Linked DNA regions of Oryctolagus cuniculus. The protein of the gene in region 1 interacts with the protein of each later gene in a pairwise test. Links are inferred from orthologs where the notes say so. Each region holds a gene or a part of one and is shown on either strand. Other genes may lie near its edges.

Region 1 (15,900 bases):
GTGGGCCTGGGACAGAGGCAGCTGGGATTACGATTCTGACTTCACTGGGGAAGAAACGGAAGCTCAACCTCTTTAACACATTTGCTCCCAGTGACACAAGTGGGTGAATCAAACTGCTAATTGTCGTTTTCTGTATGATAGTCTTTTCAAGGTAATATTGAGTGTCTTATTCCACTGCGCGGTGTTGCCTGTGTGGTACTTTCAGGCAGCCAGCCAGTCTTCTCTATCCTTGAATGACTCTTTCCAGAGCCTCCAGGTTCAGATTCCAAATTTGAGGTTGGTATTTCTTGCTATCTGCACTGTGAGTTCAGTCTGGGGAAGCATAAGTGGGCGAAAGCAAGAAATTCGAAAACCAGAATTCTTTGTACTTCCCCAGGTTGTGTAAGCCTTTCAGTAGGAGCAACCTGCCTAAAGCGGCAGCTCTTCCCTCCTTCACATCTCCTGGGTGAGAGTTACTTTGTCCCCGTGAAGAATCCTCCCAGCTTACTGTGAGATTAGATCTCCAGAAACTTCTAAAGCAGATAATCCAAGCAAAAGCTCATGTTAGCTCGTCTGGCCTTGATAACCCCTCAGTCCCTGCCTACCCTTCACCTGGGCTGTCTAATTTTTAATCCAAGATTGCTAAGATCATGTTGAAGCTCAAATCTTCACCATCTTTAATCTCAGCAGCATTACAAAGGCCACACTCGATTTTGGATAGAAGAGAGAGGGGTCTGTGTAAGGTAGTTGTGAATTCTTTCTTCTGTCATATTGTAACCTTTTTGCAGTAGGATTAAGTTTTCATAAAAACTCTTGAGTAGAAGGGATCTGGAAGCTCATCTTTCAAAATCCCATTCAGTGCAGTCCTCCCCTGCCTTGCTGCATACCCTATTTCTTAGGCCTACTCAGACTGCACATATTTCCAAAATCAGATGCCACTAATGCTAGGAGACTCAGTACATACTATAACAACCAAATTGTTGTTGTTGTTTAAAGATTTATTTATTTGTTTGAAAGTCAGAGTTAGAAAGATCTTCCATCTGCTGGTTCACTCCCTATATGGCTACACTGGCCAGAACTGAGCCAGGCTGAAGGCAGGAGCCAGGAGCTTCTTCCAGGTCTCCCATGTTGGTAGCAGGGGCCCAAGGACTTGGGCCATTTTCCGCTGCTTCCCCAGGCCAATAGCAGAGAGCTGGATCAGAAGTAGATCAGTTAGGACTCAAACTGGCACCTGTATGGGATGCTGGCCTTGTAGGTAGTTACAATGCTGGCACCTGAAACCCAGTTTTATCTTTGAACATGTCTTTCTATGAGGAAAAGAATTGTTACAATCTTAATAATGTGATATAAGGGGCCGACACTGTGGTGTAGTAGGCTAACCTTCTGCCTGCAGTGCCAGTGTCCCATATGGGTGCTGGTTCATGTCCCGGCTGCTCCTCTTCTGATCCAGCTCTCTGCTATGGCCTGGGAAGGCAGTGGAAGATGGCCCAAGTCCTTGGGCCCCTGCAGCCACAAGGGGAACCCGGAAAAAGCTCCTGGCTCCTGGCGTTGGATAGGCGCAGCTCCAGACGCTGTGGCCATTTGGCGAGCAAACCAGCAGATGGGAGGCTTTCTCTCTCTCTCTCCTTCTCTCTTTCTGCAACTCTGTCTCTCAAATAAATAAATAAAATCTTGAAAAAGTGATACTAATTTAATTTTTTTTTGACAGGCAGAGTGGACAGTGAGAGAGAGAGACAGAGAGAAAGGTCTTCCTTTGCCATTGGTTCACCCTCCAATGGCCGCTGCGGTCGGCGCGCTGCAGCCGGCGCACCGCGCTGATCCGATGGCAGGAGCCAGGAGCCAGATGCTTTTCCTGGTCTCCCATGGGGTGCAGGGCCCAAGCACCTGGGCCATCCTCCACTGCACTTCCTGGCTACAGCAGAGGGCTGGCCTGGAAGAGGGGCAACCGGGACAGAATCCGGCGCCCCGACTGGGACTAGAACCCGGTGTGCCGGCGCCTCTAGGTGGAGGATTAGCCTAGTGAGCCGCGGCGCCGGCCGATACTAATTTAAGTGTTATAATGACAATAGGATTCACTAGTCACCTCTTATCTATGAGGGCTATGTCCCAAGACCTCCATGTATTCCTGAAATCACAGATGAGAGCTCACATGAGCTTTTTCTTATAAATACCTAAATAAGAAAGTAACAGTAACTAACAAAATATAACAATATATGAAAAATATAATAAAAATGATGGGAATTCTCTCTCTCAAAATATCTTATTGTGCTGCAGGTTTTTAGTAACCTCAGCTTACAATTTTGTTTCTTCATTATTTTTTAAACTTGATTTATTTTTAAAAAAAATTTTTGTTTATATAAGGTAAACAAATTTCTTTATTTCATAAATACAAATTTAGGAGCATAGTGATACTTCCCACCCCCCTTCCATCCTGCCCACATTCCCACCCTCACTCTTTTTTCCTTTCTTATTTTCTCTTTTAGTTTTTACAATGACATAATTTCACTTTACTTTATAATCATAAGCTTAACCCTCCACTAATTAAAGAAGTCAACAAATAGCAAGAAGAAAAAAACACCATTTCTCTACAGTAGAGACAAGAGCTATAAACAATAATCAAATCTCAAAATGTCAGTCTTGCTCAAATGCATTACGTTTTATTTCTGTGCTCTAGTTACCATGGATTAGGGAAAACTTATGATACTTGCCTTTTGGGGAAGACCTTTTACGTTTTTACTTAAAGGAAGTACTTTGTGGCTTCTCTTTGGCATATCCAAATTGCCAGCATCTCTCCTCTTGGGCTTCGGAACCATTGTTGGGTAAATTAAGAGTTCCTTGAGCACAAGCTCTGTAACACCCTGGCAGTCGTTTTGATAATCAAGAAAGCCACTCAGTGACTGACGGGCAGATAGTGTACACAGCATGGATATACTGGACAAAGGAGTGATTCATATCCTGGGAAGAATGCTGCTGGATGACATGAGATTTCATCGTGTTATTCAGAACAGTATGCAATTTAAACATATGAATTGTTTCTGGAATTTTCCATGTAATAATCTTGGACCACAGTTGACTGGGCAACTGAAACCATGGTTAAGGGTGCATACTGTACTTATGTTGTTGGTGATGTTAATATAACATTATATTAAAATTGCTCGATATATTAATATAGTAAATATTCGTTAAAAGTACTAATATTTCTATTGAGTGTTAATTTATTAATCTGCCATGCATTCCAGCTTTTTCAAAGGGCATTTGATCCATTGTCTAAATAAATCCTTACAACACCCGTATATGAATGGTCTCACCATCCCTAGTTTGCACAGGAGAAAATTCAGGCTGTCAAAGGTGAAGTAGCTTGCCCAAACTTTCAGAGCAAACAAGGAGGTTAGGGACTGACCTAGATCTGATCCCTGGCCCACACTGGAATTCAGTCAGACTGATTGATGGTGTGCATATGATGTACAGACTATTTTTTTCTCACCTGAAATTTGAGGAAATAAATCTACCCACATCATAGAGGTGCCTAGCATATTCAATGTACTGATAGACAATAGAGCCTATTTAGATAGGTCCCTAACTCATAATAGCCCTCCACATACCTAGTGCTAGATATTCTATGATAAAGCTCAAATTTTTTGCCTTGAAACATCTCCAGTATTCAAAATTGATTTCTTCTAATTTTCTCCATTTCTGAATATGATCATCTTCGTATATTCATTGTTACTCAGCAACAGCTCTTCATCTTTTTGTATATTCATTTCAAGAAGTATTTTAAGATGCTTAAGTTTATTTCTGCAGTGGTGCAATCTTCACTGAAAATAATTTTAAGAAGATGATTTTAGTAAAAAAAAGAAAATTATTCGTACTTTACCCACCCAAAATTAGCTCACACCCTTTGGCTCTCCTTCACAGTGAAGCACTTTTCCTGAGGATTAAAAACAAGTCATGCCTAGAAATCCTGCAAAAAAATGCCAGTCTCCATGGCAGCCCAAATAAGTGGACATAAGAAATGTTGGATGTTACTCAAGTCCTTTTTATTTTCTTTGGTTTCTATGGATTCTTTAAAGGATAGCCAAGAAGGCCAGTGTGTGTTTGTATTTGTTTTTGTCTTCAGGCTAGACTCTATTTTCTGTGCTGATGCATTATCACTGCTTTTCTTGTTGTTAATATCCCCTCCAGTGTACACAGAGAAGGTTAGTGTCTATAATTTGAGAGAAATGACAGAGTGACAGAGAGATACATCCTAATGCACCTGCAGAAAATTTGACATATAATTTTAGATCAGGTGTCTTTAACCATTTCCAGAGATAGGACTACCTCACTTTTTCAGAATACTGTACAGGTCATGGTGCTTTCACAGGCATTATGTAAGTTAACCCTTAAGGAAACCCTGGTACAGGCATTTTTTAAACAACTTTCATAGAAATGGCAAATAGTGACATAGAAATGCAAACCCAGAATTTCTTACTCTGTTCATTTTTACAATAGTCTTTCATTGTTCAAGGAAGCATTGCTAACATTTCCCTTTAGCGACTTGGTAACAGTAGTCTTTGTAGTCCTAATACTGTTCCAAATGCCTGATGTGAATACCTCCTGCTGAAGTTGTAGGTGGATAAGTTCCTATCATTTGAGCTAAAGTAACTTCCGCATTGTCTTATGTGAAAGGTAAATTTAAAGAGTTTCTAAATGGGAAATAATAAGGTCCCTCCCCTCAAAAATGTACTCTCTATGACAGGAATAAGTAAATGTTTTCTGTAAAGAGTGAGATAGTAAAATTTTTTTATTTTTATTTATTTATTTATTTATTGACAGGCAGAGTGGACAGTGAGAGAGAGAGACAGAGAGAAAGGTCTTCCTTTTGCCGTTGGTTCACCCTCCAATGGCCACCACGGCTGGCACACTGCAGCCAGTGCACCACGCTGATCCGAAGCCAGGAGCCAGGTGCTTCTCCTGGTCTCCCATGCGGGTGCAGGGCCCAAGCACTTGGGCCATCCTCCACTGTACTTCCGGGCCACAGCAGAGAGCTGCCCTGGAAGAGGGGCAACCGGGACAGAATGCGGCGCCCCAACCAGGACTAGAACCCAGTGTTCCAGCGCCACAGGGCGGAGGATTAGCCTATTGAGCCACGGCGCCGGCCGAGATAGTAAATTTTTTAAGCTTTGTGGGCCAGAAAGTTTCTGCAAACTTACTCAACTCCATTATAGCACAAAAGCAGTCGTAAGCAACCTGTAAGTTATGTGCAAGGCTATTTTCCAGTGAAACTATTCATAAAAATAGAGGGCAGGATAGATTTGGTCCATGGATTATAGTTTTCTCACCTCTGGCCCGAAAGATGCCCACTTCCATTGACTCTAAAAGAATGGAAAGCTCAAGGTTGTGCCCACTAATGCACCAAAGGAAACATCAAGAGGAGAGCTGGAGGTCCTGATGTTAGGAGATGCTTGTTTTGTTGTATACAGGGAAGGGATAGATGAGAGGCCGCTCTGGTAACTCCAGAAGACTGTGTTCTCTTAGCCACGAGATAGGATATATGATTCTTTCCTCTGGCTATGGGTTAGCCTGGAAAACACACTGACTCACCCCCTGTGATGCCTTCTGCTCCTTATTGTGTGCTGTGCTGGCAGCCCCTGGGTCCCTGTTGATGAGCAGGGCTCTTTGGTGATTTTTTAGGAGTTTCCAATCTGGGCTAGAGTTAGAAGGGGTGTTCAGGAGAACAGACATGTGTCCAAAAAAATAGTATAAATAAAAACAGGGGAAGAATCAGCAGAGAGATGCTCCCAGAGTGTGCTGGGAAGACAAAGGCAAGAAAAGTGGGGTTTGTTCAGCGCAGTTGGGGTGACAAAGCAGGAAAGGATGACCCAGCTTGTCAGTGAGACCTGGAAGGGGCAGTTCAGAAGAGGAAACTCCAGGTATGGGAGAGCGAATGGTATAGCAGAGAAAGGCTGAATCCCCTATCTCTGACAGAGGGCAGGTGAGGGAAGGGCAAAGGAGAGTTGAAAGTCCAGCAACACCTCTGTGAGAGGCTGAAAGATGAAGCTGAGAGGCTGCGATTTTATTCCACAGGAAATAGGGGCCCTGGGTGGCTTTTGAGCAGGCACGTAAATAAAACCAGAATGGGGCTTTCCTGAGAGAATTATCACCAGCAGTGTGGGGGCAAGTTAGGTTCAGCAAATGAGCCCCTCAGAACTCAAGAACAGTGCTGTCCAAGAGAACTAAGATGTGAGCCATAAATGCAAGCCATATATGAGTTCTAGATTTCATATAGTTATGATTTTTAAAAGTAGAAACAGAATTAGTTTTAATAATAGTTTCTTATATAATCAACATAAATATGACTAATCATATCTTTCACATTCATTTTAAAATTTTTATATATTTTCATTTTATTTGAAAGGTAGACAAATCTTATGTTCACTGGTTCACTACCCAAATGCTTGCAGCAGCCAGGCCTGGACCAGACTGAACGTAGGATCAGGAACTCCATCCAGTTCTCCCACATGAGTGGCAGGGCCTGACCTACTTGAGCCATCACCTGTAGCCTTCCAGGAAGCTGGATCGCAAGCAGAGGAGTGCAAACTTGAACCAGACACTCTGATAAGAGAGCATCCCAACTGCCACACCAAACACCCTTCCCATATTTTACATTCCTTAGCTCACACTAAGTCTTCAAAATCTGTAATGTGTTTTACCCTTAGAACAAATCTCCATTCAAACTTTTGATGTTCCAAGTGTGCAGTGTGGTGGTGGCTACCTGTTGGACAGCACAGCTCTATCACATGTCACAGAATAGGCATCCAGGAGACCAGAGGACAGCCTTGTGAGGGTGCCTGGCTGCATACCACATCGAGCTCCCTTGTGCTCTGAGCTCTTTTTAGAACAACCTTCATAGGGATAATCTCTGTGCTTTCAAAAGGAAATATTTGCAGGATGCTGTGAGTACTTGGAAAATAGTGTTCTGCCTAAAGGTAGGTGAACCACTAAGGTAAGTAAAATAGTGGACACTTTACGTGATAATTACAAGGTTTCAATAGGGAGTTTTAATCTTAATTTTTTTAAGCTAGAAAGTCTCTTAACTACTTTTCTCTTTTTCTACTTGCTGTGTGTATGTATGCAGGGGAGAAAACGAACAGAGGGATACAGAGAGAAAACACACATAGAGACAGACAGCAAGATGAGGGAGGGAGACAACAGAACAGGATAACCAGGAGTGTTTTTAAGCTGTTAGTACTAGGGACCTGTCCTTATCTACCGAATCAGAGACTGAGTGAGCCAGATACAGGTAGCATCATTAGTAATCCATCAGCAGGTCTGTATTATCACTAAAAATGTAACAAAACACAGAAGAACTTTTTAAAAATAGATCTATTTTTTATTAATTTGAAAGAGAGAGAGAGGCAGAGATAGAGAGATTGATTGGCCTTCCATATGCTGGTTCACTCCCCAGATGGCTCAAAGGCAAGGGCTGGCCAGACTGAAGCCTGGAGCAAGGAGCTTCTTCTAGGTCTCCCAAATGGGTGCAGGGGTCCAAGCACTTGACCCATCTTCTGCTGCCTTCCCAGGAGCATTAGCATGGAGCTGGATTGGAAGTGGAGCAGCAGGGACTTGAACTGGCGTCCATACAATATACTGGCATTGCAGGCATTGGCTTTACAAGCTACACCACATTGCCAGCCCCAGAACTTTTAACTAGAATTCTTGGAAAGCAAAAAGGAATATTCTGCTCAATTAGTTGGAGTGTTGGATTGGGCTGCAGCAAGAACAATGGCTCGGGGTGGGGGGTGGGGGGGGCGGAGAAGGAGATACAAGGAGGCATCTGAGGAGCATGCACAAAAAACCACCACCTTGAAAGGAACTACAGCCACCCAAGTCCTTTATCAGACAGAGGACCCCAAGGAGCAGCAGGGATGTTTTCCCCTTTTTTACTTACTGGGTTTTATTGCTGTGTGTGTGTGTGTGTGTGTGTGTGTGTGTTGGAACTGAGTTGCCATACCAGGAAAAGGACAAGTGAGGCTATCCCCATTGCCTTCATTTTCCACCTTCCTGCTTAGCTGTAGCACTTTCCCTTCCCCTTCCCCACAAGAAAAGGAGGGGAATCATTTATAACATACCCCAGGCACTGATTTATGAGCCTGATCACAATATCAAACCCTGAGCTATTCTGAGATGCTCACGTGTATCAGCTGGGACCTAGCTAAGGCTGTGTAGTCTAATGGGCCCTCTAGATGATCTATATTGAACTCCTCCCCACCAGGCAGAAAACCGTTAGCAATACTTCTTAACATTAATGCGCATACCAGTCGCCCGGGGATTGGTGAAAATGCCCCTTCTCATTCATAGGTCTAGGCTGGGGCCCGGGATTCTTTCCGTTAGTGGAGGATAATAAGCAGTGTACACTTTTCGTCTAGAGCTGTATTTAGTAAGCTTCTGAACACTGCCTGTGCTGCATGTGTGCTGACCACACATGGACTAGGAAATCCTGAGAACATCAAATATTTGTGTGAACAAAGTCAAATAAACAATCTACAATCTAGGCATTTCTTCTTTTTTTTTTTTTTTTTGACAGGCAGAGTGGACAGTGAGAGAGAGAGACAGAGAGAAAGGTCTTCCTTTGCCGTTGGTTCACCCTCCAATGGCCGCCGCGGCCGGCGCGCTGCAGCCAGCACACCGCGCTGATCTGAAGGCAGGAGCCAGGTGCTTTTCCTGGTCTCCCATGGGGTGCAGGGCCCAAGCACCTGGGCCATCCTCCACTGCACTCCCGGGCCACAGCAGAGAGCTGGCCTGGAAGAGGGGCAACCAGGACAGAATCCGGCACCCCGACCCGGACTAGAACCCGGTGTGCCGGCACCGCAAGGCGGAGGATTAGAGGGCATTTCATCTTTCCACAAACTGCATGCCCCGTGGTACCCTTGCCTGGGAGCGCACAGGGGCCTGGGATTTGAAAACAGAGGAGAATTAAGCCATCACAGCAGCCAGCGCTGCCAATCCTGCCTAGGAACACACCTTGCCTTTGAGGGTCATTTATTTTTTTTTTCATCCTTTTGCCTCTGTACTTTCAGGTATCCAAGCTTGAAAGAGAGAAGACACAAGAAGCCAAGAGGATCCGTGAGCTGGAGCAGCGCAAGCACACGGTGCTGGTGACAGAACTCAAAACCAAGCTCCATGAGGAGAAGATGAAGGAGCTGCAAGCCGTGCGGGAGAATCTCATCAAGCAGCACGAGCAGGAGATGTCGAGGACAGTGAAGGTGCGGGACGGAGAGATCCAGAGGCTCAAGTCGGCCCTGTGTGCTCTACGGGACGGCAGCAGCGACAAAGTAAGGACAGCGCTCACCATTGAGGCCCGGGAGGAGGCCCGGAAACTGTTTGATGCAGAGCGCCTTAAGCTCTTACAGGAAATTGCGGACCTGAAAACAGCCAAGAAGCAGGTGGACGAGGCTCTGAGCAATATGATCCAAGCGGATAAGATCAAGGCCGGGGACCTTAGGAGTGAGCACCAATCCCACCAAGAAGCCATCTCGAAGATCAAGTGGGAGTCCGAGCGGGATATTCGGAGGCTGGTTAGTAATCCTGGCGGCCCCAGGCAGAACCACCTTCTGTCCAGGTTTCAGAATGCTGTGGGGTTTATTTTTCCGGTGTTTCCTTGTTAGTGGATGCTAATAAACAGTGCACACTTTTGTCTAGTGCTGTATTTAAAATACAAACTAGATCACTAGGGAGGGAGGGAGATCTAAGGAAAGCTAAGGGCAGGCCAAAAATGGATTGCAAATGTAAGCAATTTTGGAATCGCCTTTCTCAAATGAACTCGAGGTTCTCCCAGACCACATGTGTGGAGAAAACACCTACATTCCTGGATATCTGCAAAAATATTCTAAATTATGTGCTCCTCAGAAGTCAGCTTGTTTTGTGGGGTTTCCATTTGTAAAGTGTTACTGGATGTTTTACGGGGGATAGCAAAGTAGCTACAGCTTTCCCTGTGTGTGAAAATGGCAGCCACTGTGAATATCTCAAGTGATTTGCCATTCGATTTTCCAAGAATACTATCTGGAAACAGGACACAGAGACACAAAATCCCTAGTCATTTTAAAAACTGGTCTTTTCCCCAAAATAAACATGGGCCACTTACAACAGGAACCATTATAAATTTTAAGTTGTGTGTCCTTCCTAAGTAACTTTTTTGCTTTTCACAATTTCCAAGACTTACTTCAACCCCTAAAGTTGCCTTCCTTTTAACAAATAGCCAAAAGTCACATGATTTTTTTTACCATGCTTAAAAACAAAACAAATGGAACAATTGTCTGAAAGCTGTAATGCCCTAATTTGAAATTGCCCAGCTATTTTAAAAGAAACCTTTATATTTACTATACTCAGATATTCAGCATTAGTTAAAGTTTAGTTTTAACTTATCAAATAAGCCATCACCTGTTAGAATGTACTTTCTACTTCACTAGAAAATGTATCTTTTTAAGAGAAACTATACTTTCCCTCATGTGTCAAGCAATGCTAAGTAATTGAAGTAATTGTTTTTGAAGAATTTCCATTATGTCCCTTGGATGATATCTCTAAGATTTCAATTTTAAGTTCAAAGTAGTTATCATGGAACACTTTCAAAAACTAAGGATGTATAATGTTCTTTGCACTGCAGTACAATGTGACTGTGAAATGTTGCCTTTGCTACACTTTGCATGCTTTATCTGCAGCTCATTCTATTGTATTTTTTCGATAATAAAGACCAAACACAGTGCAGACATATTGGTTCTGCCCTGCCTTTGGTTTCGGAAACAATAATGACTGATGAAGAAAGAATCAAGACTGTGAACTCTGAAGCCAGCAGGTAAGTAATGAAAAAGGAAGCTTTGCATTAAGTATTTTTGATTCTTAAGGGCTTTCAATATAAAATCTGCAAATATGTTCCCTTGTTGATTTGTAAATTGTTTCCGTGACATCATTTCATCAAAGCATACATTAAGTAGCCAGAAAATCCCTCTTAGTGACAATTTAAAAGTTAAGCCACTTTAAAAGGGGTTTGAAAATTGGGTAAAAACAGAATAACATAGACAACTGTTTCAATAAAACAGATGTACTCGTATTCATTTTTTCATTCTTCCTTATCCTGTTCCTACCCCATGCCCTAATTCCATTTTTGTAACTGGAAGGGAGGGAAATGGGAGCTGTTCTGTTTAGGAGGTTCCCTCAGAGAATTCTGGTATGCATCCCTTTCCATCAATGAAATATAACTTTGGTCAATATTCAGTATTCTGAGGTGAGAGAGCATGCTTATAACCACTATGCAATAGAATTACCACAATAATAATTACTAAGGTACTCCACTGAAAACCAGCATGGAAAATGCTGGAAGATGGGTAATCTTGAGGCAAGAGGAGCATAGTGCCTGAGAAAGGCCTCTAGTATCACAAGAGTGAATTAAAAAATCAGGTTTCAATACTGACTAGCAGATGACTACCACCAACATTTTTGGTGTTTTTAATTTTTTTTTAATTTGAGAGGCAGAGAGGACTCAACTACTTGAGTCAGCATCAACTAACTCTCAGGTGGGAAGCTCCAAGCAGTAGCTGGAGCCAAGAATCAAGCTTAGGCACTTCAGTGTGCTTTACAGGCACCTGCTCCCTGGAGCCAGCTTTTAAACCTTTCAGGTCACCTGTCGTCATCTATAACACAGTGATAACAGAATCTACTGAATAAGACTGCTCTGAAATGAGATGAAGTATGTAAATTTCTCACTTTAGTGCTTTAAATATACTAAAAGATGGATATATTTCAGTTATGATGATGGTGATGATCGGAGTGTTTATGTGGGAAGTAATGGAATCGAGCTCAGTCGGGGAGGATACATCAGAATCAATTAGGAACAGGCAGATTGGGTGCTAAATTAAAATGTATATAACACTATAGATGACAGGTTTGACAGAAAAATGCATTACCCAGTTAAGAATAGGAGTGGACTCACTGCAAAGAGATACAAACTAGAAGTGATATTTGTATTCCAGAATTAACAGGACAGTAATGATCATTTACAAATTATCAGATGACACCATAGGATCATGTAGAATTTAATGCCCTCCCAAAATTGACCTAAAGTTTAATCTTGTGACTTGGTGGCAAAAGCTCACAGATATTTGGAAAATATGAAACTATGTAATGTAATTTCTGCCTCAAATATTTTTTCTTGTATAAACAGCACAACAAAGATTTATACAAAGTGAATTGTTGTAAAGAATTATTTTGAGAAATAGGAAAATGGTAAAATTTTCTCTGTATTGGATATCTTTTCCCTATTTGCATATTGAATATTTGCATAGAATACAGTAAAATGAGAAGAAATGTTACTGTCAATGACCGGGCTGTCTATTTTACAGTCACTTTGTTATCCCTCATCCAGGAATGGCAGAAAGGTTCCATGGCAGTGGAACGCTGATCAGTTGGTATCCAATGCCTTTGGCTCTGCTTTGAGAAATATTTTTGAGGACATGATCAGGCTTAGCAGAAATGAGTGTTGGAATCACTACATATATCCCGCAGATGAAGGAGGGGAGATAGTGTCTAATATAGCCCCGTTTTGCCATCCCTGTTCGAGTCCCAACCATCATTTTCTGAGCATAAGGGCAGAATGTTTGCTAAAAGCTGGCTGCTGTACAATATGAATGGGAGTGGAAAGAGCCACATGACATGACCCATGGATGGACTCCTCTCCAAATTCACTACTTGAACACAAACATGGTAGTCTTAGGAGATGACTCAGTCATTGGGAACTCTGCAGTTTCTTCAGTTGCAAGTGGCCTAACTGTGACAGCTGTTACTTGAATTGAACTCAAATGTCCACTCCCCTTGAAGAGAAAGCAACACAAATGTGCTAGGAAACATTGTAGTGGTGTATTTAGTGTCTGTCTTTATCTACACTAATAACCTATTTTAAAGTTTGCCTTTGCTTTCTGTATTTAACCAGCCTAGACCATTTCAAGCAATCTACTGAATGAAAACATCTACACAGGATATGGTAGAGAGAAAAATGACTCTCCTTGACATTTAATTAACCTCAACAGCCGTTCATTTCACAATGTTGCTCAATGTATTCATGAATTGAGTACACTTGTTATGTCCACTTTTTCCTGATTTCATTTAGAAGAAAGAAGTTAAACTCATACCGCTATGAAAATGCATTTCTTCACAGCATTGCTAAATAAGAATATTCTGGGTCTCGTTTAATTCAGATGGATGAAATCAAAGCCAAGGACAGGATCATCTTTTCGCTGGAAAAGGAACTGGAGACCCAGACAGGCTATGTACAGAAACTCCAGCTGCAGAAGGAGGCTTTGGATGAGCAACTCTTTCTCGTCAAGGAGGCTGAGTGTAACATGAGCAGTCCGAAACGGGAAATCCCAGGAAGGGCAGGAGACGGCTCTGAACATTGCGGCAGTCCTGTAAGTCTGTCCAAGTTGAAGTTCAGAACTCAGGAGTCATCTTTTATTTAGCTTCCAAATTTTTCTTTTCACTTAAGCACTTTTCATTTTACTACAAAGAAATCAATTTTACCTCCCATTATACCACCAGCTAGTATCTTGGGAAGAGGGTTTTCTAAACTGATAGACAGCAAAAGTGGTCTGTGCTGCATTAGTAGATCACGTGAAAAATATGGCTCTCTTTAAATCCCTCATAGAATTTTCTAGGCAAGCAATACCTTTCCAGTTTAAGTCTATTATAAGAATCATAAATTAGATGGAAATATTTTACCTCTTGCCAAGAATAATCATTTTCCCTTATGCGAACAATTGGGTTAGAAATTGATAAAGGAGGTTATCATTTAAAGGGATCAAAATGTATAACTGTATGAGAAACTAAACCGGTTATGCTCATCCTGTGAAAGCTTCTAGTCTTATTGAACTTGCCACTCATTTCCCTTGATGTTCAACACTTTATATAAGAAATTATTTTCAAAAGTACGATGATGGAATAGGGCTTGTCTGTAGTTTGCTAACACATCTATACCTTTCAAGTTATTAGCTGCTAAAAAGATGAAAATGTATTATTTAAGAACAGAGATGAGTTCTACTAAAGTACTACTTAGTACCAAGTGATGAATAATTCAAGAATTGGTATTCAAGAATATATATAGTCAAGATATATATATATATATATATATCCTGGCGGGAGGTAGAGACAGTACTGATCTAGGATTTAGCAGATGTATGCTTTGGTTCTATCACTGACACCTGCAATGTGTCATACTTGTGGAGAAAATAGCATATATGTGTATTATATTTGATTTATTGATTCTAAACATGAAACCTGAAACAGGTAACAGCCTCCCTGATTTTTACCCATTCTGCTGACTCTTGGAGAGTACTGTGACTCTAGAGATACAATAGGTGTGAAATTGCTGTGTCAACAATACTGCACCAACAAAATGTAAGATGATAATAAAATTGCAAGCATATGCTAATAATCCTATGGACTAGCTGAGAGGCAAGCCATGATTGCTGTGTGTAAAGTGATTTGTGGCAGTTTTGTCAGTAGGAAAGCCAGTTGCACTAGGTAAAAATATACCAGCAGAGCCTCTCCTACCAACTGCTGTTTTTTTTGTTTTTTGTTTTTTGTTTTTTGTTTTTTTGACAGGCAGAGTGGACAGTGAGAGAGAGAGACAGAGAGAAAGGTCTTCCTTTTCCACTGGTTCACTCTCCAATGGCCGCTGCGGCCAGCGTGCTGCGGCCAGCGCACTGCGCTGATCCAAAGCTGGGAGCCAGGTGCTTCTCCTGGTCTCCCATGCGGGTCCAACTGCTGCTTTTTATACATGAAGGTCACACAGTGACCTTTTCTCACTCTGACCTTTTCTCCAGGGATATGCAGGACTTTACAAGCCCATTCCCAGCTCCTACCCAGTCCCCTCTTTGGCTACGTGGAATAGCAGTAGATCTGTGTAAGCAGTGGGGAGCAAGATGCATCCACGACACAAGGGTTGCTCCTTGATCTCATGTAATTACAACGGAACCATGGTCTCGGAGGACACAGCTCTGAAAGGCTGATTCAGCCTTCTGCTCCCCTGCCCATGAGCCCAGCCTTTGGGGTGTAACTGCTACAAGGGAATTCATTTGTAATTTCAACCAGGATTTCTCCTAAATTCAAACCACGAATATTAGGGGGAAAAGTAGATAATTATTCTTCTCTAAATAAGAGAATATTTTACTCTCAGTAAAGAGAACTGTGCCAATTAATTTTATGAGCAGTATTCCAAAAGTGAAAAGTGTTATCAAGGAAATAACCATTTTAATTTTCATCGGTAGGATTTGAGAAGAAATCAGAAGAGAATAGCTGAATTGAACGCCACTATAAGAAAATTAGAAGACAGGAATACTTTGCTTGGAGATGAGCGAAATGAATTGGTGAGTTACATCAGAATGTTTCTACTTTATTTTCCTGTTAGGCATTGTGTTAGAGAAGTATATATGAAGCTTTAGAAGTAAAACATAACAGAAAAAAAGTACACATTAATAAATGTTCACAACATGGTACATCCTTATAACCCTCAAATGGATGAATAAGTGGAAAGTTACCAGAATCTCAGGACCTCCCTTTTGTGTGACCCCTCCTAATCACCATCCTTCTAAAGTTAACCACTACCCTGACTTCTGTAGGCACAGATGGCTCTTACCATTGGTAAACATTTTTGTCAGGGGAATCATGCAATATTTTCTCTTTTGTGTCTGGCTTCTTTTCTTTAGCATGATATTTGTGATTGTATAACATGTAAGATTCATTCATATTTTATTATTCAATGAATAACATATTATTCAAATTGGCATTTGTCTTATTTAAAATTTTCTGTATCCTTACTCATATTTGTGTCTGCTTATTCTCCTAACATATTGGTCTATATCTCTTATTTCTTTCAGTTTGCCCATATGTATTTGA
Region 2 (16,541 bases), on another chromosome or scaffold:
GCCTATGCCTCGTTTGCGGGGAGAGGAAGCAGAGGGTCGTGCCGGCAGCGGTGGGAAGCCCTGAGTCATCCCTCACTGGCTCTGCAGCCCTATGACTGAATTTCGAGCCTCAGTGGCTCTGCGGTAAAATGAGCCGAAGGACACCTGCGTCAGGGTGTTGTACACCCAGAACAGGCCTGCCTCCACGCAGGTGCTCAACAAACAGCCGTGGTCCCAAATCACTGGAGAAAAGGAACCAACCACCGGCAGAAGAAACGGCCCGTACCCAGGATTTCCCGGGGCGAGGTGGCTGGGAAAGGCCTCAAGGAAGAGACGTGTTTTGAGCTGCACTGAGACAGAAGATCTAGTACGCAAGGAGATGGCGTCCACTGGGTGCTTACTACGTGCTGTCCATGTATGCCTCTGCAAGATAAACATCATGCTGCTTTCACTTTTCCAGTCAGAGAACCAAGGCTCAGAGCAGAGAGATGGCTGGCCCAAGACCGCACAGTAACTCACAGAACTGGGATTTGAACCTGGGCCGTCTGGTTCCAGAGATAAACTCATGAGCATGATGATTTGCAAGAGAAAAGGCTTGGCAGCGTGCGTAGTGGCTGGTCGGGCAGAGCCTCTCAGGCCATCCGGCCGCTCTAACAGAATGCGGTAGACCAGCTGGCGCATACGCTGCAGAAATCCACTCCTGCAGGCGGAAGTCCCAGACCCAGGAGCTGGCTGAGCCCCCTTCCTGTTCCTGGGGAAGCCAAGGAGCGCTCCTTGGGAAAGGAGGGAAAGGAGCCGGCCAGCCCCTAAGCCTCGCACCCCACGCCTGTGGCTCCACGTAGGGGCCCATAAAAGACTTCGAGCGTTTTGGGGTGGAATTTATCAGCTGAAAAAGTCGCCTTGAGATCCTGCCCTTACCAATTCAACCTAGAGCTTCTCAAGATAGACAGTGATTTGTACAAGTGATTTCCCCACAAACACCGTAGCTTCTGTCTTCAACGCGCGCTCAGCAAGAGTCTGCATCCAAAATGAAGTTGGGAGGAGTTCCAGAGGCGTTGGGGGTGGGGGGACACTCTTGCTTCTGCCTATACCATCACACCTCATTAACTGCTTTATCACATAGCAATAACACCCACCTGTCAACACGTTAGCTTCTTGGTTACTACATAATCCTGTAATGATACATCGTCTTTGGGAAGTGTGCCCATTGACAGAGGCAGGTCCCAGCAAAGAAACAATGGCCATGCAGCCTGCTGGGATGCTGTCCTACCCAGCTTGCCACTCTTGCTCAGCTTCTCTGGGCACCTTAGCTTCTAAAATGTTTTGTTGTTGTTCATTTTTGTTTGTTTTGAGAGGCAGAGAGAAAGAGAGAGAGAGAGCGAGCGAGTGAGCTCCCATTTCTTGGTTCACTCCCCAAATGCTCACAACAGCTGGGACTAGGCCCAGCAAAAGCCAGGAGCCAGAAATTCAATCCAGGCCTCCCACTGAGTGGTAGGAACCCAAGAACTTGAGCTATCCCCGCTACCCCCCAAAGTCTGCATGGGTAGGAAACTAAAATCGGGATCTGAAGCCAGGTTTCAAACCAGGTACTGGGGTGTGGGATGCGGGCGTCTGAACCACCAGGCCTCACCCCGCCTTCTGTTTCTCTAGCGTCAGCAGTGCCCGAATTCCGACTCCACAGCAGGGAGTCACTCAAGTCCAGTTGGTCGAGTGAGACACCACACACCTACTCGGGAGCTGGTTTTCACCAATTCAGGGGCACTGTTGCTGGGAGCAAGAGCCTGGCACCTTTGCAAACAGTACCCAGGGCCTCTATTGCAAAGGCCTGTGTGGGTCTCAGCTGAGATGGGCCACCCTCAGCATGCTGGCCACATAGTCCTCAGCTTCTGCAACCCAAAGAGACCCAGGAAAAAAAGGTATGGGAATGACTGGCATTGTGGCATAGCAGGTTAAGCCACTGCCTATGACACTGGCATCCCATAGGGGTGCCCGTTTGAGGCCTGGCTGCTCCACTTCCGATCCAGCTCTCAGCTGATGTGCCTGCCTGGGAAAGCAGTAGAAGATGGCCCAATCACTTGGGCCCCTGCACCCTTGTGGGAGACCAGGAGGAAGCTCCTGGTTCCTGCTTTGGTCTGGCCCAGCCCTGGCCTTTGTGGCTATTTGGGGAGTGAATCCGTAGATGGAAGATATTTCCCTCTCCCTCTCCCTCTCTCTCCTTCTAACTCTGCCTTTCAAATAAATAAGAATAAATCTTAAAAAAAGAGAAAAAGAGAGATGTGGGTGGTGAGGGAGGCTCTGACTCCTGTTTGTGAAACACGTACTAAGTAATTTTCAGTGTTAGTAAGTACCATTAGCTACATCCCTCTCCTTAAGGACTCTATAACCTTTGTAAATTTTATTATATTTTAGTTTTGTAAACATTTATTTATTTAAAAGAGTTATGAGAGAGAGGGAGACAGAGAGAGAGAGAGAGACATCCTCCATCTGTTGATTCACTCCCCAGATGGCCACAACAGCCAGGGTGGGGACAGGCTGAAGCCAGGAGCTTCTTCCAGGTCTCCCACGCAGGTGCAAGGGCCCAATCACTTGGACTCATCCTCCACTGCTTTTCCCAGGCCATCAGCAGGGAGCTAGATGGGAAGTAGAGCAGCTAGAACGTGAACCAGCACCCATATGGGATGCTGGTGCCGCAGGTGGCAGCTTCACCCACTACATCACAGCTCTAGCCCCAAGAACCTGAGGTTTTAAAGTCAGGACTGAGAGATTTCCTGGAAGGGGGTCTAAGCTTTAAAAACAGAACAGTAGGGGCCGGCGCTGTGGCGCAATGGGTTAACACCCTGGTCTGAAGTGCTGGCATCCCATATTGGCGCCTGTTCTAGTCCCGGCTGCTCCACTTCCGATCCAGCTCTCTGCTATGGCCTGGGAAAGCAGTAGAAGATAGCTCAAGTCCTTGGGGCCCTGCACCTGCATGGGAGACCCAGAAGAAGCTCCTGGTTCTGGCCATTGAGGCCAATTGGGGAGTGAACCATTGGATGGAAGACCTCTCTCTCTCTCTCTCTCTCTCTCTCTCTCTCTCTGCCTCTCCTCTCTCTGTGTAACTCTGACTCTCAAGTAAAAAATAAATAAATCTTAAAAAAAAAAAAAAAAGAACAGTGCCAGGCAAACTGGATCTAATTGGTCGCCTTACAGGCAGACTGAAGTTCAAGTTCATAATTAGCTTTGGGGCATAAATAAATAAAATTAAATAACCTGGCCTCTCAGAAACTCAGCTCCTGTATTATAAAATGGGTATCATAGTAGTTTATCTCATGTTTCTTGTAAGAATTCAATGAGATGGTATGTGAAAATAACTTAGCACAGGGCCTGATACTAATTGCTCAAAAAGAGTAATTAACACATGCACATAATTGCTAAATACAAGACATATCATTTAGGGGCCAGTGCTGTGGTGCAGCAGGTTAAGCAGCCACCTGCAATGCCAGCATCCCATATGAGCACAAGTTCAAGTCCCAGCTGCTGCACCTCCAGTCTAGCTCCCTGCTAATTCCTGGGAGGTTGGCCCAAGTGCTTGGGCCCCTGCACCCATGTGGGAAACCCAGATGGAGCTCCAGGCTCCTGGCTTCAGACTAGCCATTGCAGCCATCTGGGGAATGAACCAGCAGATAGAAGATCTTTCTCTCTCTCTCTCTCTCTCTCTCTCTCTGTCTCTCTCTCTCTCTCTCTGTTTCTCATTCTCTCTGTGTCACTCTGCCTTTCAAATACATAATTTTATTTTTTTAAAGATTTATTTTATTTATTTGAAAGACAGAGTTACAGCGAGAGGTAGAGACAGAGAGGGAGGTCTTCCATCCGCTGGTTCACTCCCCAGGTGGCCCCAACAGCCAGAGCTGCGCCGATCTGAAGCCAGGAGCCAGGAGCTTCCTCCAGGTCTCCCACGCGGGTGCAGGGGCCCAAGGACCTGAGCCATCTTCTACTGCTTTCCCAGGCCATAGCAGAGAGCTGTATTGGAAGAGGAGCAGCTGGGACTAGAACCAGTGCCCATATGGGATGCCAGCGTTTCAGGCCAGGGCTTTAACCCGCTGTGCCACAGCGCCAGTTCCTCAAATACATAATTTAAAAAAAAAGTTTCCATAGAAGTAGAATTGACAGATAAATATATGTTGCCAAATAAACTTAAAATTCATACAAACAAGTAATTTTTGTACCAGTATGTCCCATATTTTTAAAATTTTCATCTCACATTAAAATTTAACCAGGTAGCTGATATTTTTGTTCCCCAAAAGTGTCAGCCTATGTAGAAAAGGTAGAACTTACATTAGAGGAAACAAAAAATGCTGCAAAGATAGCTATGAAAGCGTTGTAACGTTTGAGAAGGAACACCTGAGATCCAGCCCAGCGCATCCAGGTGTGATGCAGAGTACACGGGAGGGGGCGGCGCTGTGGTGAAGCAGGTAAAGCCGCTGCCTGCAATGCCGGCGTCCAATACAGGCACTCTCCTGGCTGCTCTCCTTTCCATCCAGCTCCCTACTAATGGCCTGGAAAAAGCAGCGAAAATGGCCCAAGTGTTTGGGCCCCTGCCGCTCACTTGGGAGGCCTGGAGGAAGCTCCTGGCTTTGGCCTGGCCAAGCCCTGGCCATTGGGGCCATTTGGGGAGGGAACCAGCCAATGGAAGATCTCTCTCCCTCTCTCTCTCTCCCTCTCCCTCTCTCTCTCTCTCTCTGTCTCTCTCTCTCTCTCCCTCCCTGCCTCTCTCCCCCTCTCTTTGTGTAACTCTGACTTTCAAATAAATAAATATTTTTTAAAAAGAAGGATATGCCGGAGAGTCAGAAACAAGGTGCTGAGTTCCTGGGGTAAGGCAGGAATCAAAGGCAGAGACGCTTGGAGAAAAGGAAGAGCCTGGATCTACACCTCCACCGGGCCCCGTCCCTGTGAGAGGGATGACAGCCAGGGAGATCCGTGTGCAGCTGCCGCCAGAGGGTGGGGGCCAGAGCCGTGGAGAAGGAAGGTGTGTTGTGGGGAAGGCGTGGCCACGGTTCTGAAGGGGAGCTGTCCGTCACATCAGGACGTCCCCAGGTCCCTGCAGCCTCCTCAGTGATGACCAGAGTGAGCAAGTGGTATGGATCTGCAGAGGCCTCTTGATGGGGCTTAGCTAAGTCCACAGGGAAAGGTGGGCACTTAAGGCCCGCCCGCCCTCCTCCAGCAGTGAGAAGACACTGAAGTCACGGGATTCCTTCAGTCCCCCCAGCGCTTTCCCCACTCCTGAGGGTCCCCACAGGGTCCTTCCGCCCTCCAGAAACAACAAAGCTCTTGAAAGACAGCGATTCCAGTGCACACAGAGGGCTTGGGACCTCAGGGCAACTTCCCTGTGGGGTCTGTGTTGCTGTTTTTGACCTCCCACACTCATTGCTTTCTTCCTCGTGTGTGTGCACAAAACCTTACTCGTGTGACAGATGAAAAAGCCAGGGCCCCGCGTGGCAGCTCTCCCCCAGCAGGGCAGCTCCTCTCTAGAAACACTCCCCAGCAGGAATCTTCCAGTTTGATCCAAAACAGCAACTGGTGCAGAACATCTGCTAATCCAAAAAAATGAAAATAAAAATTCCAAATTCTTTGGACTTTGGTATTTTCAGTTGGGCTCCTGGAAATATCAAAGGATATATGTCTCTCAACTTGTAGGGATACCAACTAATCAGGCTTTTTGGATTATATTACATTGTATTACATTATATTATATTGTCAAGATGTGAAGTGGTACTAAAGTTTAAGTTATGAAAATGTAAAATGCTACTGATACAAATGTCCAAAAGTTAAAGTCTAATGATCTTATGTTACCAGGCATGATGGTTATTTAATGAGAAGGCCCAGAGGCCTAAAAGGGATAAGTGCTTTTTTAAATCTTACCATAGGGGCCGGCGCTGTGGTATAGTGGGTAAAGCCGCTGCCTACAGTGCAGGCATCCCATATGGGTGCTGGTTCAAGACCCAGCTGCTCCACTTCTGATCCAGCTCTCCTATGGCCTGGGAAAGCAGTGGAAGATGGCCCAAGTCCTTGGGTCCCTGCATCTGCATGGGAGAACTGGAGGACACTCCTGGCTCCTGGCTTTGAATCTGCACAGCTCTGGCCGTTGCGGCCGTGTGGGGAGTGAACCATTGGATGGAAGACCTCTCTCTCTCTCTCTCTCTCTCTCTCTCTCTTTCTCTCTGCCTCTCCTTCTCTCTCTGTGTAACTCTGCCTTTCAAATAAATAAATAAATCTTTTAAAAAAAATCCTTCCAGGCCGGTGCCGCAGCTCACTTAGCTAATACTCCGCCTGCAGCGCCGGCACCCCGGGTTCTAGTCCCAGTTGAGGCTCCGGATTCTGTCCTGGTTGCCCCTCTTCCAGTCCAGCTCTCTGCTGTGGCCCGGGAAGGCAGTGGAGGATGGCCCAAGTGCTTGGGCCCTGCACCCGCATGGGAGACCAGGAGGAAGCACCTGGCTCCTGCCTTTGGATCGGCACAGCACGCCGGCCGCAACGCGCGGGCCGTAGCGGCCACTTCGGGGGTGAACCAATGGAAAAAGGAAGACTTTTCTCTCTGTCTCTCTCTCTCTCTCTCTCTCTCTCTCTCACTGTCTAACTCTGCCTGCCCAAAAAAAAAATCCTTCCATAGACTTCTAGTTTAGACCATCAAAGATCAGAGATGGGACTCGAGCACCCCTTGACTTGCATCCTCTTAAAAGTTTCCTCTTAAACCTCCTGACGTGAAATGGACACTATGGGAAACGGTGACTTGATCAGCATAGCCCTGACTGTTAACAAACAACTTAATACATTATCCCTCTTAGTAGTTTTTTTTTTTTTTGTCTGTTCTACTTAATATGACTGGTTTAATTCTGTAATTAATACACAGTTATTCTTAAGTGTTGAAAATTAACTGAAATGTGATCCCTGTTAAACATAAGAGTGGGAATAAGAGAGGGAAGAGATGTATAATTTGGGACATGCTCAAGCTGACTTGCCCCAAATGGTAGAGTTAGAAACATACCAGGGGATTCCAATTCAATCCCATCAAGGTGGCATGTACCAATGCCATCTCACTATTCCAAGTGATCAATTTCAGTTCACAATTGATCATAATGAAAGGACTAAGAGTCAAAGGGAGCACATAAACATGTCTAGTACCTGCTAACACTAACCAATAGAATAAATAAAGGGGAGAGTGATCCAACATGGGAAGTGAGATACTCAGCAGACTCATAGAATGGCGGATGTCCTAAATAGCACTCTGGCCTCAGAATCAGCCCTAAAGGCATTCGGATCTGGCTGAAAAGCCCATGAGAGTATTTCAGGCATGGAAAGCCAAGACACTCTGGCAAAAGATCTCTGTGAGTGAGATCCCAGTGGAAAGAACAGGTCTTCAAAGAAGGAGGTACCTTTCTCTGAAGGGAGGAGAGAACCTCCACTTTGACTATGACCTTGTCTAAACAAGATAAGAATCGGAGAACTCAGAGGGCTTCCATAGCCTTGGAAACTCATGACTGGAGCATAGGGAGATTACTGATGCCATAGACAGGAGTGTCAATTGGTAAAGTCAACAACAGGAGTCACTGTGCACTTACTCCTCATGTAGGATCTCTGTCCTTAATGTGCTGTGCATTGAGATTTAATGCTATAACGAGTACTCAAACAATATATTTCACTTTGTGTTTCTATGGGGGTGCAAACTGTTGAAATCTTTACTTAATGCATACTAAACTGATCCTCTGTTAAAAAAAAAAAAAAAAGAAAGAAAGAAAGAAATTATCAACTCCCAACTTGACTCTCACTGGGATTAAACATGACAATAGGTCTGATCTGATTTCATCATCATTTTAAAAAAATCATCTATTATTTTTCACTTTATGTTTCTGTGTGGGAGCAAACTGTTGAAATCCTTACTTAATGTATAGTAAGCTGATCTTCTGTATATTAAGATAATCGAAAATGAATCTTGATGTGAATGGAAGGGGAGAGGGAGTGGGAAAGGGGAGGGTTGCGGGTGGGAGGGACGGTATGGGGGGGAAGCCATTGTAATCCATAAATCGTACTTTGGAAATTTATATTCATTAAATAAAAGTTAAAAAAATAAAATAAAATAAAAAAATAATAGATGTGTCACACTTATGCACAATATCAATAGTAGAGCAAACTGTGAAGAGGGACTTACAGGGACTGTCTATACCATCTACATTTTCCTATAGGCCTGACAAATAAGTCTACGGACTTTAAAAATGTCTAACATCTATTCCTGAGTTCCTCTCTTTTGAGAGACAGAAGGTAACAAAGTGAGAAAAAGGCAAAGAAGGCCTTCTGTAAGTGGACGGGTCTACAAGAATCCATTGCTTTCAACAGACAGCAACAAACAGTTTAAAACTAAAAACATAATACATTTATATTAGCACCAAAAAGAGGAAGACATGTATAAGTCTAACAATATATGTACATATTTACATGAGGAAAACTATAAAATATTGATGAAAGACCCAAAGCTCTAAATGAATGGAGATATTATACAATGTATGCATATATCATATAGTATCCTGTAAATATGTACAATTTTATATGTCTGTTAGAAAGCGGTTCTTTTTGAGATTTATTTCATATATTTGAAAGGCAGAGTAACGGGGGGTGGGGGGAGATACAGAGAGAGAGAGAGAAGGAGAAGGGGGAATGGGGCGAGAGAGATCTTTCATCTACTTGTTCACTCCCCAAATGGCCACAGTGGCCAGAGCTCTGGGCCAAACCAAAGCCAGGATCTGTGGGGAGTGTGAGCCTAAGGACTTAGGCCATCTTCTGCTGCCTCCCCAGGTGCATTAGCAGGGAGCTAGACAGAAGTGGAACAGCTGGGAGTCAAACTGGCACTCTCAGGCAGTGGCTTAACCCACTGGGTCACAATGCCAGTCCCTGTTAAAAAGTTTTAAGGTGAAAATTCTAATGAAAATAATCAATAAATGGAGAGATCTTCCATGTTTGTAGACAGGAAGACTCAATATTGGTAAGATGTTAGCTATTCCCAACTCTGTAGATTCAATGCAATCCCACTCAAAATCCCAGGCAACTGTTTAGTAGAGATTGACAAGCCAATTCTGAAGTTTATGTGGAAAGACAGAAAGTAGCCAACACAATTTTAAAGGAGAGGAACCAGTTCAGAGGATTGACACCACTGGGCATAAAGATATCAAGACAGTGTGGCCCTGGCAAAAAAGAGACAAAGAAACCAAAGGAACAGAACAGAGAGCCCAGACACAGACCCACAGGAGCACAGCCAGTGGATGTCTAACAAAGGGCCAAAGGCAACTCAGTGGGGAAAGGGGGGACGATGAGACAGCCACAGCAAAGAGATGAGTCCAGATAGAGACCTCACACCTTCCACAAAAGTAAACTCAAAACGAATCACAGACATAAATGCAAAAGCCAAAGCTGTAAAACTTCTGGGAGATAACATAAGGTAAAATTTAGGTGACTGGGTATAGTGGTGACTTTTTAGATAGGATGGACACCAAAGGCATAATCCATGAAAGACTGAACTGATAAATTATACTTCATTAGAATTAAAAACTTCCACTCTGTAAAAGACCCTGTGAAGGTAATGAAAAGGTAAGACAAAGAGGAAAATTCTTATAAAACACACATCTGATGAAGGACTGTTATCCAAAATTATACAAAGAACTCCTAAAATTCAAAACTTTTTGCTCAGTTTTTAAAAATGAACAAAAGACCTAAAAAGACACTTGGTCAGAGAAGATTTACAGTTAGTAAATAAGCAAATGAAAAAGTATTCACATCATATGTCATTAAGGAATTGCAAATTTAAAAAAACAATGAGATATTACTGCATACCATTAAAATGGCTCAAATCCTAAACACTGACAACACCAAACACTTGTAAGGATGTGACCCAATAGGCGCTCTCATTCGTTGATGATAGGAATGCAAAATGGCACAGTCACTCTGGGACAGTTGTGCAGTTTCTTATAAGGCTAAACACAGTGGTACCAAATGATCCAATAATCACTCCTTGGCATTTAACCAAGTGAATTGGAAATTTAGGTCCACACAAAAGTCTACAGATGAATAGCATCTTTATTCATAATTTCCCCAAGCTGGAAGTAACCAAGACCTCCCTTAACGGGTAGATAACTGGTACATATATACAATGGGATAATATGCAGTGACAAGAAGTACTGTGCTCTCAAGCCATGAAGAGACATGGAGAAACCTTAAATGCTTAAATGTTAAGTGAAAGAAACCTGTCTGAAAAGGCTACATACCATATGATTCCAATTATACAGCATTCTAGAAAGAGCAAAGCTATGGTGACCGTTAAATAATCAGTGGCTGCAGGGACTGGAGAAAGGAGGGAAGGGGGAGTAGATGACGCACAAGAGGTTTCTCAGGGCAGTGAAACGGTTCTGCACAATCCTATAGTGGTGGATTCGTGGCCCCAGGCACATCATTTGTCAAAACCCACAGAGCGAACACCACCAAGAGTGAATCCTAACATAGGCTATGGGTTTTAGTTAGTAAGAACCTATCAGATGGATCCATTGATTATCACAAGGAAAACATGTGGACTGTGGAACATTTTTAACAGCTTTGTAGCACTGACCTGACTCTCTGGTCAGGCTATTATCTATAAAAGGACGAATTTCTGTAAAACACAAACAAAATGAACATGGCTGAGACTCACGTTCATTTGCCTAAGACCACACAGCGCTTCATGAGGATACTCGGCACTGCCCTAGCAGGAGTGAGTTCCACCAGGGGGCTGGGTGGGCAGGTTTTATAGTGAGACTTACCCAAATCTCGCGACTGTCTCCTCAGTGTCGTCAAGGAAAAGGATGTTCAATCCCTCATTCGGTGAGAGTACTAGTTGTTTAGAGTGTTGTCTGGTGTACGGGAGTGTGTGGTGTTTACATCACGGGCTCCCTGGGGCCCCTGTGCAGATTCCAATCACAAAAGGCCAGGGTGGTGATGGCAACTTTGGCTGGCTCCCTCTGGTGGAGTTCTCCTTCCAAGTGCACCAGCCAGTGTTCCTACAGACACCAAATACATAATAATGACGCGAGCTCTGGCGCTATGGATACCGGATTTAAAGGGCCAGAGACTGTTCATTATAACCCTACTCTACCTTGTAGAGCGCCAGTAGCAATGGCAAAAGAAGAGGAATCATCAATGGGGTCTGGCCTCTTCCCTCTACAGTAAGGAAGAAGCCCAGAAAGCTCTAAAAGATGTCTCCAAGTCACTAGCAAGCCGTTAGGGACCTTGGTCAACCTGAATCCCAATCCAGGGCTCTTTCCATGTCAGCTTTCCTGAAGCTTTGCCAACTTCTTCTTCAAGTGGGAGAAGCAAAGATTGGTTCCAAAGTTGGAAGCACCATTAAGACATAAGCTCCAATCATGTGCTGGAGCCTATAGGACACAGATTGCATCTCATGTCATGACATCCGGGAAGGTAATAACTGAGGGAGTGACGGCCCACCAGAGATATGAAGGCACTTCAAAAACGGGGGTGGGGGGGCTGTGTTGTGGTGCACTGGGTTAAGCTACCACCTACGATGTCAGCATCTGTGTGAGTGACAGTTTGAGTCCCAGTTGCTCCACTTCCAATCCAGCTCCCTGATAACATGCCTGGGAAAGCAACTGAAGAGGGCCCAAACTTGGGTCCCTGCCACCCACATAGAAGACCCAGGTAGAGTTCCAAGCTCCTGGCTTTGGACTGGCCCAATCCTGGCCATTTGGGGAGTGAACCAGGGGATGGAAGATCTCTGTGTGTGTGTGTGTGTGTGTCTCTCCCTCTCTCTCTGCAATCTGTCTTTCAAATAAATAAATAAATAAGACAACTATTTTTAAAAAGTCCATGGAAACGTAAAATTAAAAGATATGTTTATGAGGCCAGCACTGTGGCATAAAAGGTTAACTCTCCACCTGTAGTTCCGGCATCCCATATAGGCCCTGGTTCGAGTCCTGGCTGCTCCACTTCCTATCTAATGTGCCTGGGAAAGCAATGGAAAATGGCCCAAGTCTTTGGGCCCCTGTTTCCACACGGGAGATCCAGAAGAAGCTCCTGGCTCCTGGCTTCAGATCAGCCCATCTCTGGCCATTACAGCATTTGGGGAGTGAACCAGTAGATGGAAGATTCTCTCTCTCCCCTCTCTCTGTCTCTTTCTGTATCTCTGCCTTTCAAATAATTAAATATACCTTTTTAAAACAAAGATATTTATTTTGGTGCAAAAAGTTTTTGAAACCCATGCATGGTTGTCTCTTAGTATGAATTTTCCATGTACATTTTGAAGACCCCACATACGCATGGATCTCAAAATGTTTTGTGTCGCTCCCCCTCTTCGTGGAGGAACGACACAGGACCCTGCGCTGTTCTTTTGTCTGCTCGGCCCTCCCCGGGTTTGCTGCTGGTTCTTCCCGGGTTGGCTACCGTCCCTTCCACCTCCGTGGAAGGGCGGTTCCCCCTGCCACATTCCCCACTTCTGCGGGGGAGCGGCACACCGCCGGCCGGCTCTCTCGGGGGCTGCACAGGTGTTCCTCAGGTATTCCCCTTAGATGTTCCTGGTGCATGTTGTCTCTCTCCTCCTTTATAGTCCTCCTCCGCCAATCCTAACTCGGCTGCCCACACGCCGAGTATGCTGCTCTCCTCCAATCAGGAGCAGGATCAGCTCCTGGAGGTCATCACTCAAGTTGGCAAGAGGCAGCTGCGTAGAAGCTGTTTTCTCCTCTCCCAGCGCCATATTGTGGGAGAGCAGATGCATAGAATAAGTCTTAATTCCAGTAACTCAGTCCAGTCCGGGTTGCTCCCCACAGTTTTGCACCAAAAACAAATGTCTCCAGGCCAGCGCTGTGGCATAGGTATACAGCTGCGGCCTGCAGTGCTGGCATCCCACATGAGCACTGGTTTGAGAGCTGGCTGTTCCACTTCTGATCCCGCTCTCTGCTATGGCCAGAGAAAGCAGTGAAAAATGGCCCAAGTCCTTGGGCTCCTGTACCCACGTGGGAGACCTGGAAGAAGCTCCTGGCTCCTGGCTTCAGATCGGCCCAGCTCTGGCCATTGTGGCCATTTGGGTAGTGAACCAGTGGGTGGAAGATCTCTCTCTCTGTGTCTCTCTCTGCCTCTCTATAACTCTGCCTTTCAAATAAATACATAAATAATTTTTTAAATGTCTTTTAATGCTATTTTCTGTGAACTCTTTGAAGAACCCTCATAACTAAGTGGTTTTGGCTATTGGAATTGTCACTACCAAGGCTCCATTTTGGAGGCCAAGTTGCCACATGAGCCAGGACAACACTGCAGGAATTCTCTGGCTAACGAGAGACATGTGGCCCCGTGTGCTTTCAAACTGCTCTCTGTTCCTACACCCTTAGGAACAGAGGGCAGCCGCAGAAATGCTGAGTCACTCTTTAGTTTCTCTTCTGCAAATACACCAGCCGTCACTTCATGCCCAAAGAAAGAACAGCTTTGTGATGCCAAGGCCTGGAGCACCTCGGTTTGCGGTGAGTCTCTGGAAAGAGAAAGTCCAACTGCCTTCATTTTAGCTAAGGGTAACCTGCAGTAGCATTTTTCTAGTCTCCATACTATAAAAGTAAGACAGAACCACTTAGCTCAGTGCATGGCTCCAGCTCTTCATAAACTGCAAGTCTTTTTGACCCCCAGCTGTTTCTGCCCAGTTTCCAGGAGGAAGCTCCAGTTGTCAGAATCACATATTTGTTTAAAAATAAAAAGTGCCGTGTTAACGGCGTAAGGCACATTGAAGCAGCTGAGCTGTGTCACTGTGTCGGGCATAGGTGAGGGAGGCTGGAGCTGCAGGGAGCCCAAACCCGATACCATTGGCTGGGAGCTTGGAGAGGATCACTGTTCCTACCGAAATAACACGGCTGGCTGTGACAGAATAGGAGCTGCAGGTGCCAAGGGCTTCTCCCTCCCCCGTTGCAACCTGATCTTGAATTCTGAGCCTTTGTCTCTATAATAAAAATCCTTAATATAGAAGAGTAACACTCACTCTTAAAAAAATTAGCCAACCTATAGTCTCTAGGATTCTCAGTTATGCTTTTTTATACAGATAGCAATAATTTCTATTTGTAATGAAGACCCTAAAGAGTTCATCTCAAAGTATATTCACAATTATGCACACACACACACACACACACACACACACACGAATGCTGGAGCGTGTACTAGACCAGGATGTCGCATAAGAACTCCTGAGTCCTCTCACTCAGGGCTGCTGACTCAACTGGGAGAAGGAGATAGATTCTCTGCTCTACAGATGACTCACTTCTCCATATCCATGCACGCAGCACAGATCTTTCTAGAATGGTCCCCAGTACATCAGTCAAGAACATCAAAGCAGACTCAGCAGGCAGTTAGAGAAGAGTTCAACAAAGGCATGACTTTCAAGGGTGTGGGCAGAGCTCAAGGAGACCCCAAGGGCAAGGGCAGTGCTCCTTGGCAGTGTTAACAGCACGTTACCACCCCAGCCTGCGAGTGAGAGGAGAGAGCTATGTCAGAGCGTGGGGAGGGTGGGTATGTGCAGAGGGGTCCCTGGCGGGAGCTGTGGTCATCCACGAGGCCAGGGTAGAGAGGATGTGGGAATCAACATCCTAATCACTCCCGCCCACCTGGTGATGCCCTCTGCTTACCACAATGAAATACCTGGCACAGCGACTTACAAAGAGAAGAGAGGCGTACTTGGTTCCCAGTTTGGGAGGTTTAGGAGCATGGGAGTGACGTCAGCTCAGAGCTGGCGAGGACCTCACAACATATGATGGGCGGTGGGGAGCCGTGGGGGGGGAGCCCATGTCAGGGCAGCAGGTCACGTCTCACACCAGGAGCCAGACTCGCTCCTTCGATGACAGCCCTCTCTCCAGAACGGCCAAGGGCTGCACAGGAAACAGCTTCACGTCTCCAAAGACCGAAGGATCTGCCACTTGGCCCCATCTCCCAAAGTTCCCACTACTACTCAGTGTGGCCAGCTGGGGACTAAACCTGGGCACTCTTGAAGGATGCGAAACGTATTTGATGTACAGCTCCACCCACACGGATCTGCTCCCAGGACACAGATACGCGTGGGGACATGGGTGTGGAGGGCAGGGCTACAGGGGCAGAGAAGAAATCCCACGTCCAGAGTCATCACGATGTTCCCCCTTCTGGTCCTAGGGTTAGGACCTGGGTCAGATCTCTCAGAGCACGGACAAATGTGCTCTCTCCTTCTCCCAAGGCTGGACCTTGCTCTCTGACACAAGAGAACATTTTCAGCAAGAATGTGAATGGTCTCATCATGATTTCTGATGATAAGACATTATGTTGACCTCTTGAGCCCCCGCCACCGATCAGGTAATAGCTTGGAAGAACAGCACATAATAACTCCTGGGTCTAGAATGAGGTTTTACTGACACCTGGCTGCCTATAATTATTGGAGCCGGTTATAAATTTCACAGTCACCGACTTGAGTGTGCAAAAATGTAATTTTCTCCATTCTCCTGTAATTGAGTGTAATTTCCGCCTTGAGCCTCCATTCTGCCTCAAAGCAGAGAAAATTTAATCGAGTCACTTTCAGATAAACTCATTCAAATTCAGTCTTTTCTTAGTCAATTCCAGTTTATAATTCAGCCACAATTGAGTTTAAAACTCTCTTTTTCTGTCCCCTTATCCCTTTTTTCTCCCCTGAAATTCAATCTAAGCTCTCCAGGGCCTAGCCAAGAGGTCCGTCCACTTCTCAGTCCTAATTTGTCCTCTCTGGCTCTGAGTACCATGGATGTCAGGTGCTCCACTAAAAGTGGGTGGCCCGTGGCATACAAAGGGGTTCTCAACTTCTCTCTAGTGAGAGTGCAGCGCTGTCCTTCTCTGCTTCGCACACCTCACCCTGGGCCAGCCCACCGGCTCTCCCGCGCCTCACCTTGGGCCAGCTCACCGGCTCTCCCGCGCCTCGTCCTGGGCCAGCTCACTGGCTCTCCTGCGCTGTCTGCTGAGGTCTATGCTACGTGGCAGCCTTCAGGACACTGCAAGTACCCTCTTGTGCCACCATGCCCTGTGGGGTCTGCAGCAGGCACTCTCACTCCACCATACCCAGATGATGTGGGAAACAGGGCAGGCAGCTTGGCTCACTCACACTGGGCTTTGGAATGCCTGGGTTCAAGTCCACATCCAGCTCCTGCAGGTGCACAGGCCTGCAAGGCAGCAGGTGATCATGGCCCAAGCACTTGGGTCCCTGCTGCTCACACGGGAGACCTGAATTGAGTTCTTGGCCCAGCCCTTGCCTTTGTGAACGTTTGGGGAGTGAACCCACAGGTGGAAGATCTTTCTGTGTGTGTGTGTGTGTGTGTCTGCCTTTTCTATTAAATTAAACTTATTTTTTTTAAAAAGAAGACATGAGGGGCTGGCACTGTGATGCAGCGGGTTAACAGCCTGGCCTCAAGCACCGGCATCCCATATGGGCGCCGGTTCAAGACTTGGTTGCTCCACTTCCAATCCAGCTCTCTGCTGTGGCCCGGGGAAGCAGTAGAAGATGGCCCAAGTCCTTGGGCCCCTGCACCCGCATGGGA

Evidence for each region.
Region 2: the proteins of JAKMIP2 (region 1) and CLIP4 interact in binary tests that used the Homo sapiens proteins (3 or more experiments, as listed by UniProt). The two-hybrid records come from large-scale screens. The link is inferred for Oryctolagus cuniculus from reciprocal best matches to the Homo sapiens genes JAKMIP2 and CLIP4.

Annotation. Positions count from the first base shown.
Region 1 is NC_091437.1:35,126,246-35,142,145, reverse strand, and holds part of JAKMIP2 (janus kinase and microtubule-interacting protein 2), read left to right. Parts: intron 1-9,038; coding exon 9,039-9,536; intron 9,537-13,205; coding exon 13,206-13,415; intron 13,416-15,272; coding exon 15,273-15,371; intron 15,372-15,900.
Region 2 is NC_091433.1:173,895,109-173,911,649, forward strand, and holds the start of CLIP4 (CAP-Gly domain-containing linker protein 4), read right to left. Parts: upstream 11,023-16,541; 5' UTR 10,791-11,022; intron 5,547-10,790; exon of another isoform or gene 5,419-5,546; intron 1-5,418.